2 linked regions of the Cricetulus griseus genome follow. The protein of the gene in region 1 purifies or fractionates together with the protein of each later gene. This does not show direct contact. Links are inferred from orthologs where the notes say so. Each region holds a gene or a part of one and is shown on either strand. Other genes may lie near its edges.

Region 1 (7,432 bases):
GACTCTTAAGTCCCATCACAAAAATACGTGTACATCTGTGCTGAGTGCTGCACTATCCACAACATTAAGGAAATGGACCCAGGCTGGATGAGTGGACAAAGTAAAGGTGATCCATAAACACAGTGAAATTTTATTCTGCCAGAAAGAAAAATGAAATCATGGCACTTCCAGGACACAGATAGAACTGGAGCTCATCAGATTAATTCAAACTCAATCAAATACCACGTGTTTTTCTCATGGGTGGATTCACCCCGAGTTTTGTTTTTTGTTTTTTTTTTTGTTGTTGTTTTTTGTTTTTTCTTTTTTTGTTTTTATGGAGACAGGGTTTCTCTGGGTAGCCCTGGCTGTCCTGGAACTATAGCCCAGGCTGGCCTCAGACTCAGAAATCTGCCTGTCTCTGCCCCCCAACTGCTGAGATTAAAGGTGTGTGCCACCACGTCCATCTGTGGATCCTAGATTTTAATTTTTATACTTGTGGGGGTGAGTTTGGGTGTAGGTCATAAAATGAGAAAGGGGACAGTGAGAGTGAAAAATGAGGTTTTAAGGAAACAGAGAGATGAAAACGGAAGAGAAGGTAACAGAATGCATTTGCCCTGAAGCAGAAGAGAACAGTGAAGGGGAGGGGCCGGTGGGGGTGGAGCAAAGGGGCAAGAGAAACAATGAATGTACAAACCCATCACTTTGTTTACTAACTTTAAAATGCTAATATAAAAGTTAAAAAAAAAAAAAGACGAGGAACCAAACTCAACCATATGAAGAAATAAAGGTACTAAAAATTCTAATGAATGCACAGATTGTCAAATTTTCCATGACAGAAACACTCAACAGTGTGCTACTTGGAGGGGAAAAAAAATCACTTATAAAGACACAAGTTTAAAGTATAAAGGCAGGAAGGGATGTTCATACAAACAGTGTAGTGAACTGATTTCTCATACAGATATTGAACTATCCAATGAGAAAATTACAGCCATAATTAAAGATCATGGAACAACTGGATATCCATAGATAATAAATACTTTGATTCCTACTTCACTGTGAACACAAAAAATTAATCCAATATACCAGAGATAGAAACAAAAGTGGTAACCCTCCTTAAAAACAAATGCAGAAAAGCTAAGCAGAGGGTCAGTCATGCTTAGGGTCCCAGAGACTTGGAAGCTGAGGCAAGCAGAGGGGTCCCTTTAAGCCCAGGAGTTCAAGGACTAGCTAGCACAGCAAGACCCATTACTAAATAGAGACATAGGTAAAAGAAACCTGGGGTGGGTCGGGGGAAGTATTCACAAAGTCGAGGTAGAAAAAGATTTAAGATATTAGACAAGGCTGGAAAAAAAAAAAACTTGAGAAACTGGATTTTTATTAAGATTTAAATTTCTGCTCATCAAAAGACAACATACTGAGTACCCCTAAGCCAAAAGGCCAAAATGCGCTGGAATGAAAATGATTCTGACCCATACCACTTTGCTAGAGATGCTCAAGAAGTCTATGCAAATACTACAAACTCTAGAAAGGTCCAAAATCACTTCAGGCCCACCCAGACCTTTTCCAATAAGACATATTCACTGTGTATTAGGAAAACAAAAATGTCTGCCACAGATGCAGGAAGACATCCACAAATCCTCACGCATGTGGCTTTCTATTGTTTCAACTTAGCAACAAGACTAACCAGTTTTTATTAGCTAGAGATGAACCTGCTTTTATTAGTTAGAAACCATAAGATACTTTACAAAATAACACACTTGGATTATCAAAAAGCAGACGAAAAAGTTCTCAACATTTTAAGTCACCAAGGATAAACCATAAAATAATTCCTCATCCCCATTAAAATGGCTCAAACCAAAAAGATTGGCCACATGAGAGAACTGTTTGACAGTTTCTCACAAAGAACTGGGCACCTCTATCCTACATTGCAGGATAATGTAGGATATTTCCTAATTTCACCCTTAAGTATTAATCCAAGGGTATACATGTCATAATAAGACAAGACATTAAACAAGGCTGGGGGTGTGGCTCAGTGGCAAATGCATTTGCCTAGTTCCAATACCCAGCTCCCATCACACACACACACACACACACACACACACACACACACACACACACACACACACAAATCTTATAAAGCAAATCTAATGCAGCTGACTCATAGTAAACACTTTCTGAAAATAAACAAAACATCCAGCAATAGAAGAATGAGTTTGTGGAATATCCAGACAATGGAAAATTACTCAGTAAGTCACAGGAAAGGAATACTAATATAAGCAACAACACAGATGAACCATGAATCTCACAGCCCTGTTGAAGGTTCCCAATGCTGCGGAGGCAGAGGCAGGCAGATCTCTGTGTGTTCAAAGCCAACCTGGTTTACATAGTAACTTATACTAGTCTTTGATGGTCTCTCAAAAAAAAAAAAAAAATGCTGGGGAAAGCAGAAACAAAACCCAATGCATGCTGTGAAAGCTATGTCAACTTGGCTACATCTGGAATGAACCTAAAATTCCAAAATGGAGTACACACCTGTGAGAGATTTTTGCTTAATTTGAAGTAGGAAGATTCATTTCTAATCCAGACCTTTGAGGTAGATGTGCCTTTATCCAGATCTGAGCTGGGATAAGCCACCTCTAATCTGGGCCACACATTCTGCTGGAAGGAACACCGAAGAAGGAAGTTCTTTGCTCTTTGCTTAGTTGCCCTGGCTCTCAAGTTCATCCCTTCACTGGGGTTAGAGCCTACTTCTTTGGGATTCCTAAGTATACTGAAGACCAGCTGAGCTATCTAGCCTCACGAACCGAGCAACTACTGGATTTTTTGGACTTTCCATTCATACATAGGCAGCCATTGTTGAATTAGTTGGACTGCAGCCTGTTAAGTCATTGTAATAAATCCCCTTTCTATATATAGAGATTCATTCAATAAATTGTTGCTCTAGAGAACCCTGACTAATACATGTGTCAACACAGGTCCAGAAACAGTGACATTGTGTGGAATGGCTGAATGAAGAACACGGTTGTTACTAGTGCAGGGGAAGTGACTGGTGCTAGAAGTCAAAGGTCAAACAGAGACAAATAAGCTGTCTAGCAAAGTAAGTTTCTTAACTTGCTTACAGGGTTTTTGTTTGTTTGTTTGTGTGGGGGGTAAGGGGTTGTATTTGGGAATGTTTGTACTCTTAATTACCAAACAAGATGGACAGAGCTTAAAGATATCTGTTTGAAATTATGACCCCACTCCTTTATCTAGCACTTCACCCTTCACCCCCATACTAGGGAGAGATCTCAGAGCCTGTACATGCTAGGCAAATGAGTTGCACTGAGCCTAGACTCAATCCCAATCGTAAAACTGAGGAAATTCAGATATACAGATATAGAGATACAGAGATAGATATGCTGCTCCAGAACACATTTTCAGACCTATGTCTGTTTGAAACACTTGTCACAGAGAAATAGGCAAAACCTATGAAGAGATCATTAAAACATTAAAACTGCTAACCGTAATCTAAAAAAGTCTATTTCCCCGCCAGGTTTCTTGTTTGTGTAGTAAATATGAAATCAAAAGTTTGCACACAGGCTGGGGAAACCGGCCAGTGGCTAAAGCGCTTGCCAGGCAAACATAAAGATCTCAGTTCGCCACCCGATCCCGTCCAGCGCACGCGCACATTGTCTCGCGCGCGCGCGCCTAAGGCCGCTCGCGCTCGCCCCGCCGTCCCGCGCCTCCGCGTTCCCGTCTCGCGCACGTGCACCGGCGCCTCGGTCGCGAGCATGGCTCGCACACGCGGTCCCGCGCACCGGCGCCTCCGCCCTTACCCCAGGATTAGCAGCGCGCTCTGCAGCCGTCTCCGCACTTCCAGGAACACGCGCGTTTCCGCCGCAGCCACCGCCATGGCCCACTGAGGCCCGCACACGAGACCGAGCCCGCAGTTACCAGAACCCGGACAGAGTGGGAGCACGTGTCGCAGGCGGCTCCCAGGCGGTGGCCGGGCGGGATCCTGTCGGCTACAGCGCCGCCTTGCGGGCGGAGAACGCACTGCTGAGGCGCGGACCCTGGAGTGCACCTCCCGCCAACCCTGCTCTTGCAGCACAGGGGAACAGAGAACAGAGCCAGAACAGAGAACAGAACAGGATGAGGGAGGGCTTGATCTGAGCACTTCTCTCCCTGAAATGAGCAGAAAGATCAAACTTGGGGGCCGGGAGGGATTCCTCTGGATGGCTTGGGTAGGAATGAGGAAGATAATGGAGCAGAAACAGTAGAGATGGGTACTTTCTCCATTTCCAGAGCTGAATGGCCGCCCCAAAGCCCACTTTATCTGAGTCTCCTCTTTTTGGAACTAGGACTGTTTATTAGCTTCCGTGTCCATTGTAACCAAAATGTCAAAGATCGATGGGGTATTGCATTCGCTTTACAGGATAGCTCCAAGACTGAAACAGTTGCAAAAGACGTAAGGTCTCTGTAAGCCATGAAAACACAGTGGGTAGAGTCTAGTAGCTTGTATTGAGGGACTAATCATTCATATAACTTTAGAGAAGCAAAACGAAAATGAGTAATTGCTGATGTACGCCCCCACTATACTGCAGAAATAAAAGACTCAGCGAAGTTATAATTTCATTGCTACTACAAGACACATTTTCAAAGTTTGACACAGTAAAGGATATGGTATGGTGTAAACAAATGTATCAGGCCATGGAATTTCAATAGGATTTCTTTAAAAATAAAAGGTTGTTACTTAAATCAATGATAGCTTGTATAAAGGAAATTGTCTTAGGGTTACTGTTGCTATTATGAAACACCAATGTAGGGGGAAAAGGCCAGCCAAAGAAACACACCCTGAGCAGAGCCAAAAGAAACACACTTTGGCCCTAGAATCAGAGCCAGTGAAAGAAATACAGAAGAAATAAAATTAGAACCAAAAGGCTGAAAAGGACCAGTGAAGGAATCACACTTTGGCCCTGAAACCAGAGCCAAATCTGACCCTGAACCTGAGCAGAAAACCAATCCCTGAGCACAAGATCTAGCCAATCTCAGCTCAGGGAATGAAATCTGACCAATCTCCACCCTGGAAATCTCCCTGGAAAAACTCTGCCTCAAAGAAGCCCTATATAAACCCCGTGTCTGTTCAGCTTGTGCTTGTGGGTCTGTCCTGCTGGTCCTCTTCCATCGTGGCAGAAGCAGCCACTCTCCTGGATTCTTCCCTCTTGATAAATCTCTTAAATGAGGTTTGGGTGAGACCTTCCTTTGCCGGAATGGAGTGGAGGAGAGAAACAACTTTTGCTAGAGCCAGAGCAAAGTAGAGCAGAGCAAGTGGAGCAGGGCTATAACACTTTAGCTGGGGAAACCTTCCCCTAGTGAAGCAGAGTTGTTACACTCCAAAAGACTGGAGTTTAGCTGTAACAACTTCACCAGGAAGCCCTCCCCTGCTGGATCGAGCAGAGCTGTTACACTGGGAAAACCTTTCCCTGAAGCAGGGTTGTAAGCTACTACATTTACTGTGACCTGTGGTATTCCTTGGCTCCAGATTGCCAGAATACCTTTCCAACCTAGTTGTAATACTCAATACTCTTTGGCTCCTGAGTGCCAGAATCCTTGCTGATCCTGAAAGGCCCCCAGAGACTCAGGCCCCCAGGATCTCATCCCAGGACCTCGGGCACCTCAATCACCATGAGGAGGCAGAAACTTGATGCAAACAGCAAGAGGCATTAATGAAAGGTGAACATTTGTCAAACGGGCCTCCTCAGCACGCAAGTTTGGCTCCAGGGCCGCCCCGACCTCTAGGCACTGCCGGTTTTAAAGGCAAAAGCCACAGCTGTTGAGTACGTGACCAGAGTCACAGGTTCCTAGGAGGCCCTTTGTCTTGAGGGGAGGGCTGGGAATCAGATGGCCTCCTGACCCACCAGTTGTAAACCCGAAGACCTCAGGATGTGCTAACTAAACTTGCCTGAGTAAATTGTTAATTGTTGACACATTGGCCAGTGAGCCCCTCAGGGGAGGGTAGCCATCTGGGAATTCTTGGTACCCAGTTATCTTTTTTTTTTTTAATTTATTTATTAGTTCCAGTTAGGGAACAAGCTTGTTTCACATGTAAGTCCCTTCTCCTCTCCCCCCCTCACCCCCATCCCTCCTCCCCCACCCCAGCCCACCCCCCCACTCCATCCACCCACCACTCCCCAGGCAGGGTAGGGCCCTTAACAGGGGCTCTGCAAAGTCCACCAAATCTTCCTGTGCTGGTACCCAGCTATCTTATGGCCTTGTAAGGGAGTAATTGCTGGTGGTTGGTAAATTCCAGGCACTAAGTCATAGTAGTGGCCTTGGTCAGTTTCTGGGCTATATTTCTTTGCTAATTTTTAAGTCTTTCAATCCAACCTGTTGAAATGCTTACAGCCATGACTAAAGAAACTTGGAGAGGAAAGGGTTTATTTAGTCTATACTTCCACAGTACTGCTCATTGAAAGAATAGAAACTCAAACAGGGCAGAATCCTGGAGGCAGGAGCTGATGCAGGAGCCATCGAAGGGTGCTGCTTACTGGCTTGCTCCCAGGACTTTGCAGTCTGCTTTCTTTTTTTTAAAAAAAAAAAAAAACAAAAAACAAAAATATTTTAATACCTTTAAAATCCAATTTTTTCTTTAAAATCATTTATGAAAAAGATTTTCAAGTCAGAATTAACACCTCAATTAGCCAAGTGTCAGGAAGCTACATTACAGCTACTTATTTTACACAGAGGAGTCTTTGCCCTCACTTCCTCCCAATGCCTGTTCCAGACTTGGTTGGAGTCTCTCCACAGCCCAGCCTGGTTCCATAATTTCTTCAGATCACGAAAACTGAATTTGTTGGACACCAGAAATCTGTTGATAGGACGTCGTGTAAACCATAAGCAGTCTCCTTTCTTATAGGACCCAGGGCCATTAGACCAGAGATAGCACCACCCACCATGGGTTGGGTCCTTGCCAGTCAATCACTAAGAAAATGCCTTGCAGCTGGATCTTATGGAGGCATTGTCTCAATCAAGGTTCCTTTCTTTCAGGCGACTCTACTTTGTGTCAGGTTGACATAAAACTAGCCAAGACAGAAATCCAATTTATTGTTGTTCCATTTCATAATTTCATAGTTATAATTACCACACACCAAACCTGAAGCATTTCTAAACAAGTTCTTTAAGCCAATCATTATGGTGTATACCTGTAATCCCAGTATTAAGGAGGCTGAGGCAGGAGGATTGCTGCAAGTTCAAGTCCAGTTTGGACTATATAGTGAGTGCAGGGCCATCCAAGGCTATGTGGCAAGACCCTACCTCAAAACAAAACAATCCTCAGTATATTGAAGAACAGTAACATCAGACCAGTTTTCTAATTACTCTTTGAGGTGCTTCATGTGGATCATGTTACATGAATTCCCATTTCATCCCAACAATTTGAAATCACAGGTGGGAATAATAGCTTTAAATAAAATAA
Region 2 (7,562 bases), on another chromosome or scaffold:
TGCGGAAAATTGAACTCAGGTCCTCTGGAAGAGTAGCCAGTTTTCTTAACTTCTGAGACATCTCTCCAGCCCGCACTTGCTGCTCTTACAGGGGATCAGTGTTCAGTTCCCAGCACCCATGTTAGAGGCTCACAATTATAATCCTAGCTTCAGGGCTCTGACATTCTTATGGCTTCTGTGGGCACCATGTACATGTATGTAGACATACACATGGATACACATACACATACCCATAAATAAAAAAGAAAATAAATCTTTATTTTTTCAAAAAGAGTTGTGAACTATTTGGGTACACCCCCCAGTTTCTTCTCTGTGTATTTTTCTCCTGCAGAAGTACTTTGGGATCGGTTTTTACATGTTAAACTTGCTCTTTTCCTCCCTCGGTATAGGCATGCATTACATGCACAGCCAGCCATTCATGCACTACATGCATAGCCAATGCATTCCAGGTACCAGGGAATCCAGTTCCTCCTCAGAAAAGCACAGTTCTAGGTTTCATGAAGCTTACCTTCAAATAAGGAAAGCTATACTCTAAAACAGTTCCATATAGGACCTATAGTGAAAAAACTTTAAAGAGGATAATTCTTGATGGGATGTTTGGAGGTGGGAGTTAAGCTGACATTTAAATTCTCAAGATTCGAGGGTGTTCTTCCATTAGGCTAAACCAGAGGGAGACAGATAGTGACTACAGAGTAGTTAAGAGGTTAAGAACAGAGGAAAGAGGGCTGGAGAGATGGCTCTGGCTAAGAGCACTGACTGTTCTTCCAGAGGTCCTGAGTTCAATTCCCAGCAACCACATGGTGGCTCACAACCACCTTGAATAACATCTGGTGCCCTCTGCTGGCAATCAGGCAGAAGACTGTATACTAAATAAAATCTAAAAAAAAAAAAAAAAAAAAAAAACAGAGTAAAGAGATTTGGGTGTTAAATCACCTGAGAGAACTGTAATGATATTAATAGGTTTGGTTTAAAGATACAAGGCAAGTGTTTAGTGGCTTAAACACTTGCTGTGGGCAGAACCTAATAACCTGAGTTTGATCCCCTGCTGGGGATTACACATTGTAGAAGGAGAAAATGGAGTTCCCCAAGGTATCCACTGGTGTTCACAATAAACAAATAAATGCAATGGTAACTTTAAAGAGATACCGAGACAACTATGTGAAGATAGACTGTAAGGAAATGGCCTGCGGGTGTGGCTCAGTGGCAGAGCTCATGCTACAGGTGTCACTTATGGACATGTTAGACAAGGTAGGATTGGTAGCTGAGTGGCAGTGAAGGACAGGTAGAGAGGAATCAAGGATTATATTTAAGTTTTAGGTCTAAAAGCTGGGGAGGTGGTAGTGTTTACTGACACTTCAGGTTTGAGATGGTGTCAGGGTTTCTGTTCTGAGCATGTTGCAGTACTTATCAAACATTCAGGTGAAGAAATCTAACATGTGGGTCTTCAAGGGCTCAGTGGTCAGGTAGGAATGAAGGTCTAATTTTGAAGTCAATGGTTTCATCCCAAAGTAAGATCCATGAAGGCATCCTTTTTTTTTTTTTTCTTTTTTAAATTGAAGTTTGGCCTTGAAATCAAGAGATCTGCCTTCCTCTGCTGGGATTAAGAGTTGTGCCTCACAATGTCCATATGAGTACATATATTTGTGAAAGAGATGACATAATGGGGACAAGGTGCTATCCCAGTCTTGGGACATTCTACTTAAAATATAACAGAAGACTTGTGCAGAAACAACTAAAAGAACAGATGGCAGACTTGGGGTACAGCTCGGTGCCACACACTGGGTTCCATCCCAGGATATTATCTGTCCCCCACACAAAAAAGGATGAGTTGAGAGAAAAACCTGGGAAAGATCTTGTGACTGCAGTAATGTGTGCAGTAAACCGTGCTAAATGCTGCACACATTAAACTGATCCAGGGCTTGCCAGATCTGGGCCTTACTCTGGGCCTGGAGGTGTGGCTCAGTGGCAGAGCTCATGCTACAGGTGTGAGGTCCTGGCTCCTGACCTTAGCCCCAAAACAAAACAAAATTCCTAGGAAGTCACATGGCATAAAATTCCATTGTATTACCACCATACCTGTTGCATTAATTCCTTGTGGGGCTTACATTCTTTCTTATAGACTCACAGAAACTATGGACTCAATCTAAGGATTTGTGGTTTTAAAAAGATGTTCAATTTTAATTCTATCCTCAACCCAAGGAAACTGATCCAGACAAAGTCTGTGATTTTGCTTAGTGATTTATGAGCCCTTATATTTACATTATGAAAAGTAACTTTTCCTGTCTAATGGGCTTTGGTATTTTTTTTTGAAGCGTTCATCTTTTGCCCCCAAAGAGTCTTTATGGGATAATTTTAAGGTGGGATACCTAAAAATTAGGCCTTAAATATCGGGTTCACCAAGTGAAAAGGGCCAGATAGAAGATTTGTGAATTGTAGTCTTGGCTAGGAAACTTCTCATTTGTCTGTGACAGTAAACAGTTAATAAGATAAAGATACAGTGCTGAAAATGAGGGCAGTTAATCACGATAGACTGCAAAGTACGTGTATCCTGGCACAGCAGACTAAAGCCGGCAGCTGTTAGAATGCTGCTTGAAGCAGCAGCCTATTTCTACGCTTCCCACGAGACCGCCGCCCCTCCTCCCAGGTGTCACTATGGCAACAAAGCACGCGCTGCCCCGGCTGTCCAGCCGTTACCTTCCTAGGCTGGTCACTTCTGAATGTACCAGACTCCCAAGTGCCTTAAACACTCTGGTTTGGGCTGGTCCTTCACCGGGCCAGAGTGAGGGGCTGAGTGGGCACCATGGCCAAGGCGGCGGCCTCCTCAGCGCTGGAGGACTTGGATCTGAGCGGAGAGGAGGTGCAGCGGCTCACCTCCGCCTTTCAGGACCCAGAGTTCCGCCGAATGTTCTCCGAGTATGCCTCGGAGATCACAGACCCTGAGAACCGGAGGCTCTATGAGGAGGAGATCACCGCCCTGGAGCGGGAGCGCGGGGTGGAGGTGCGGTTCGTGCACCCGGAGCCGGGTCACGTGCTGCGAACCAGCCTGGACGGGGAGCACCGCTGCTTCGTGAACGTGTGCAGTAACTCGCTGGTGGACGCGCCCAGTAGCCGCCCGGGCCCGGGGCCCGGCGGCACAGCAGCGGGCAACCACTGGTCCCTGCCCTACAGCCTGGCGCCGGGCCGCAAGTATGCGGGGCGCAGCGGCTCCCGCTACACCGTCTACGACGTGGTCTTCCACCCGGACGCCCTAGCGCTGGCCCGGGGCCACGAGCGATTCCGCGCAATGCTGGACGCCACGGCCCTGGAGGCGGTGGAGCAGCAGTTCGGCGTCAGGCTGGACCGCAGGAACGCCAAGACCCTGAAGATCAAGTACAAGGGGATGCCCGAGGCTGCGGTGCTCCGCACGCCCCTTCCCGGGGGCGTCCCTGCCCAGCCCGAGGGGGAGCCGCCCGAGCTTCTCCCGGACCTGCAGTACCCGTACCCGTACCGCTACCCCGAAGCGGCGGAGAGCACGGCTCGCGCGCAGGCAGCCGCGGCTCCCCGGGCACCCCAGGCGGAGCAGCCGCCGGAGCCCACGGAGCCGCGGTGCACGGTGGTGCAGCGCCACCACGTGGACCTGCAGGATTACCGCTGCTCGCGCGACGCCGCCCCGAGCCCGGTGCCGCACGAGCTGGTGGTCACCATCGAGCTGCCGCTGCTGCGCTCGGCCGAGAAGGCGGAACTGGAGGTGAAGGGGAAGCTGCTGTGCCTGGACTCCAGGAGCCCGGATTACCGGCTGCGCCTCCCGCTGCCCTACCCGGTGGACGACGGCCGCGGCAAGGCGCAGTACAACAAGGCGCGGCGACAGCTGGTGGTCACGCTGCCCGTGGCGCTGGCGACCGCCCGCCGGGACCTCGCTGCGACGCCGCCGGAAGCGTCCGCGGCCGAGACCGGAACTGACGGCGCAGCCGGCGCTTCCGAGGGCGACCTTGCTGCGGCGCGGGAAGATTCGGTGAATAGGACCCGAGCTGACCGCGGGGACGAGAGTGGTGTGGGAGCCCCAGGCTTCGGGGCGGCAGACGCTGAAGGGGAGCCGGTTCCCAAGCGGGAGCGAGACTTGGGTGGGGACTCGGTGGCGTCTCTAGGCCTCGGGGAAGGGCCCCCTCCTGGGGACCGAAGCCCCCCTTGCACCGCGTTCCCGGGCTGCGACACCGAGTCCCGCGCGGGAAGCCCCGGGCTGTGCGGAGACCTCAATGCCCAGACGTGTGAGGAGCAGGAGGGGCGCTGCCACGACGCCTCGGGCTCAGCCATGGGTGGCTCCGGAGCCGGGAGCATCGGACCATTGTGCCCTCCTTTGCAGTGCAATCAGGACGAAGACTCCTTGACTTTGCTCATCCAAGTGCCTCAGATTCAGCCGCAAAGTCTTCACGGGGACCTGAGCCCCCTCCGATACAATTTGTGCTTCTCCACACAAGACTCAGGCTATTGCTTCACTTTGCAGTTTGCTCCAGAGAATAAATTGAGTACCAGAGAACCCGTGATTAGCATTTCTTTAAACAATGCGGTGATAGTACTGGCAAAATCTCCGGAGAGCCGTGGACACTGGCGAGAATGGTATTGTGGCTTGAACACCGACTCTTTGGAGGTAACCGTTTTCACTATTTGAAAGACTCTTATTTTTTTTTTTTTGTTACAGGCACCTAAACAAATGTTTTCCACCTATTCATATTATGAAAGATAGTGCGTGGTAAGTGTGTTCTCAAAGCGAAGTTTGCACATACCCGAAGCATGCACTTCATGCCTTCAGGGTTGTCCGTAATGCAGCCGTTTTCTTGGGGTCCATCCACTGGCTAACCAGACTGGATTTTATTGATTCCTAGACCTCTGGCATTTTATGCAAAAATTGAGGGTAGTGTCTCTCCCGAGAAAAGGGTTATAACTTAAGTCGTCCTCAACAGGATTTATGTCGAAAAAGCACTCCAAAGTGGTCATATTTTAACTTGGGAAATCACTTCTAAGTTTTTTAATTTGGACAGATGATAAAATACTTCCGGAGATGAAATAATTTATGCTGGGGTTATAGATTAAGCTCAGAGGTAGAGCATTCTCCTGTACTAGCCTTAGTCTCCTCCTTCCCTATTTCCCATTTGGCCATATGAAACTGTTGGAGTGAGGTTGCCCTCTGGTGGGTGCTGTAAATTACACAGAAAATTTCTCTGTTTTATTTGTCGCTAGAACCCCTAAGTATTTAGTGCATGGCCGGCATTTGATAAAGTGTTCGTCTCACTACATAGCCCTGGCAGTCCTGGAACTATGTGGACCAAGCTGGCCTTGAACTCAGAGAGATCCACTTGCTTTTGCCTCCCAAGTGCTGGCGTTAAAGGTGTGTGTCACCATGCCCAACTATAGTGGATTTTCTTTTTAGTTTTGTTTATTGAGACAGGGATTCTCTGTGTAGCCCTGGTTGTCCTGGAACTCACTCTGTAGACCAGTCTGGCCTCGAACTTAAAAGATGCCCCTTTCTCTGCCTCCTGAGTGCTGTGATTAAAGGCATACACCACCACCACCTGGCTTAGAAATGCTTTTGATGGAGTGCTTCAGTAATAATATCCAGAATATAAGATTCTGGATCTTCAAGTAATAGAAAGGTAAGGTAATTGTTCTAAATGTAAAATTCCTCTAATTTATTGGTTCACTTGCAAATTCAAATACTGTTTAATATAAGCAAAGAGAATTTGAAATTATCTCTGATTTTGTCCCTCCTCTTTGGACCACATAATAATCTTTACTTTGTAATTATAATATTTACTTATATAAAAGCACAGAAGATAATCTTATTTGGGGTAACTAAACTGATCTTATGAATTAAATAATTTTAAATATGGTTAAATGGCTGTTCCTTACTGGATGTGAATATAAAAAAAACTATATTGTGTTTAGATTTGGGTGATAGTGATGCTTAAATTTTCTAGTTGAGAAGCCTGTTACTGTCTTAAAATCTACTTCCTTTTAAATAACTATGTACATGTGGCACACTAAAATATATCAATATTCTTTTTTTTTTTTTTTTTTATCTGTACAACATTCTGCTTCCATGCTTATCTGCACACCAGAAGAGGGCACCAGATCTCATAACAGATGGTTGTGAGCCACCATGTGGTTGCTGGGAACCGAACTCAGGACCTCTGGAAGAGCAGTCAGTGCTCTTAACCTCTGAGCCATCTCTCCAGCCCAAATATATCAATTTTTAAAAATAAAACATATGGTGACTTCTTTGAAAACCTTCGTTCATGTTTTTAAGTGTGTTTGTCCTTCTGAGTGCCTTTCTTTCTCGTTCTTTCTCTCTCTTCCTCTGAGACGTGTTTCTCTATGTAGCCTTGGCTGGCCTGGAACTCTCTTTGTAGACCAGGCTGGCCTGGAACTCACAGAATCCATTTGTTTCTGTTACCTGATCACTAGGAGTAGAGGTGTGTGATGCTGTGCCCAGCACTGAGTGCTGTAGTTTTTCTTAAAGCCAGCATTGAATGATTTCTGTTAGACCCAGACATTGCTTCAAAAATTTAAAAATAAATAGAATGTGCTTCTTTTAAATATTGTAATGGGTTCTTAAGTGGGCCAATAACTTTTTCTGTATTTTGTTTGATACCTGGGGTCTGAGGTAGCCTAAGGTGGCCTTGAACTCCTGTGTAGCTGAAGGTGACCCTGAACTTCTGATCTTCCTGCCTCTGCTTCCCAAGTGTTGGAAATACAGTTTTGAGCCACTGCATCCAGTTTACATAGTCAAGAATTTAAAAGACATAGGAGTTATTAGAAGCTGAACTATAATAAGATTGCATTTATAGCCTTGAAGGGAATATTCCTAAGAAATACCAGGGGCACCAGATAGAATGATGTGGAAGCAGCAGAAAAGAAGTTCAAGGTCACCTTCAGGTGCACAAAGGTCAGCTTGGGCTACCTCGGACAGTATATATTTGGAAAAAAATAAAGGAAATACTGTTTGTAAGTAAGATAATCTTGGTAGGGAAAGCACACACCTCCTCTTTAGTAAACTTTAAATAAAAAATCAAGACTTCCTTTTATCTTTCTCTTTTTAGGTGGATCTCCTATTATATTCTGGACAAAACTAGAGTTCGTCTTTTCAAGATAGCACTTATGGTTGCTGAGATAAACACTTTAGAGACTGTAAAAGCTATGAACTATGTAAGAACTCTTAAGGTGACCTGTAAAATAGAATATTTTTTCTCTTTCTACTTTAGGAAAGATTGTTTCTTGATGAAGAAAATGTTAATGAGTTTCTTGAAGAGGTCCTGCATTCCCCGTTGACACAGGAGAGGTCCCTAGCCCCCCCACCATTGATTGAAGTTCTTCAGGTTACAGATGAGAAGATTCAGATTCATGCAAAGGTATTATTTTAGTGGAGTTTAAAGGAGAGTGACTAATGGCAAGAATATGTAACGTGACTATTGGCCCATTGGGGTTTCTTTGTGTAGCCTTGGTTGTTCTGGAAGTCACTATGTAGACCAGGCCTGCCTCTGCCTCCTAGGTGCTGGGATTAAAGGCATGTACCACCATGCCCAGCTGAT

Evidence for each region. Proteins that work in one complex are often made in the same cells at the same time.
Region 2: the proteins of Ube3d (region 1) and Dnaaf2 purify together in Homo sapiens (affinity purification with mass spectrometry; 4 studies listed by BioGRID and IntAct, counting the BioPlex papers as one, with this or other methods). This does not show direct contact. The link is inferred for Cricetulus griseus from reciprocal best matches to the Homo sapiens genes UBE3D and DNAAF2.

Annotation. Positions count from the first base shown.
Region 1 is NC_048597.1:196,577,359-196,584,790, forward strand, and holds the start of Ube3d (E3 ubiquitin-protein ligase E3D), read right to left. Parts: upstream 3,986-7,432; 5' UTR 3,872-3,985; coding exon 3,795-3,871; intron 1-3,794. UniProt on the Homo sapiens protein: E3 ubiquitin-protein ligase which accepts ubiquitin from specific E2 ubiquitin-conjugating enzymes, and transfers it to substrates, generally promoting their degradation by the proteasome.
Region 2 is NC_048598.1:134,171,747-134,179,308, forward strand, and holds the start of Dnaaf2 (protein kintoun), read left to right. Parts: upstream 1-2,763; 5' UTR 2,764-2,800; coding exon 2,801-4,624; intron 4,625-7,235; coding exon 7,236-7,382; intron 7,383-7,562. UniProt on the Homo sapiens protein: Required for cytoplasmic pre-assembly of axonemal dyneins, thereby playing a central role in motility in cilia and flagella.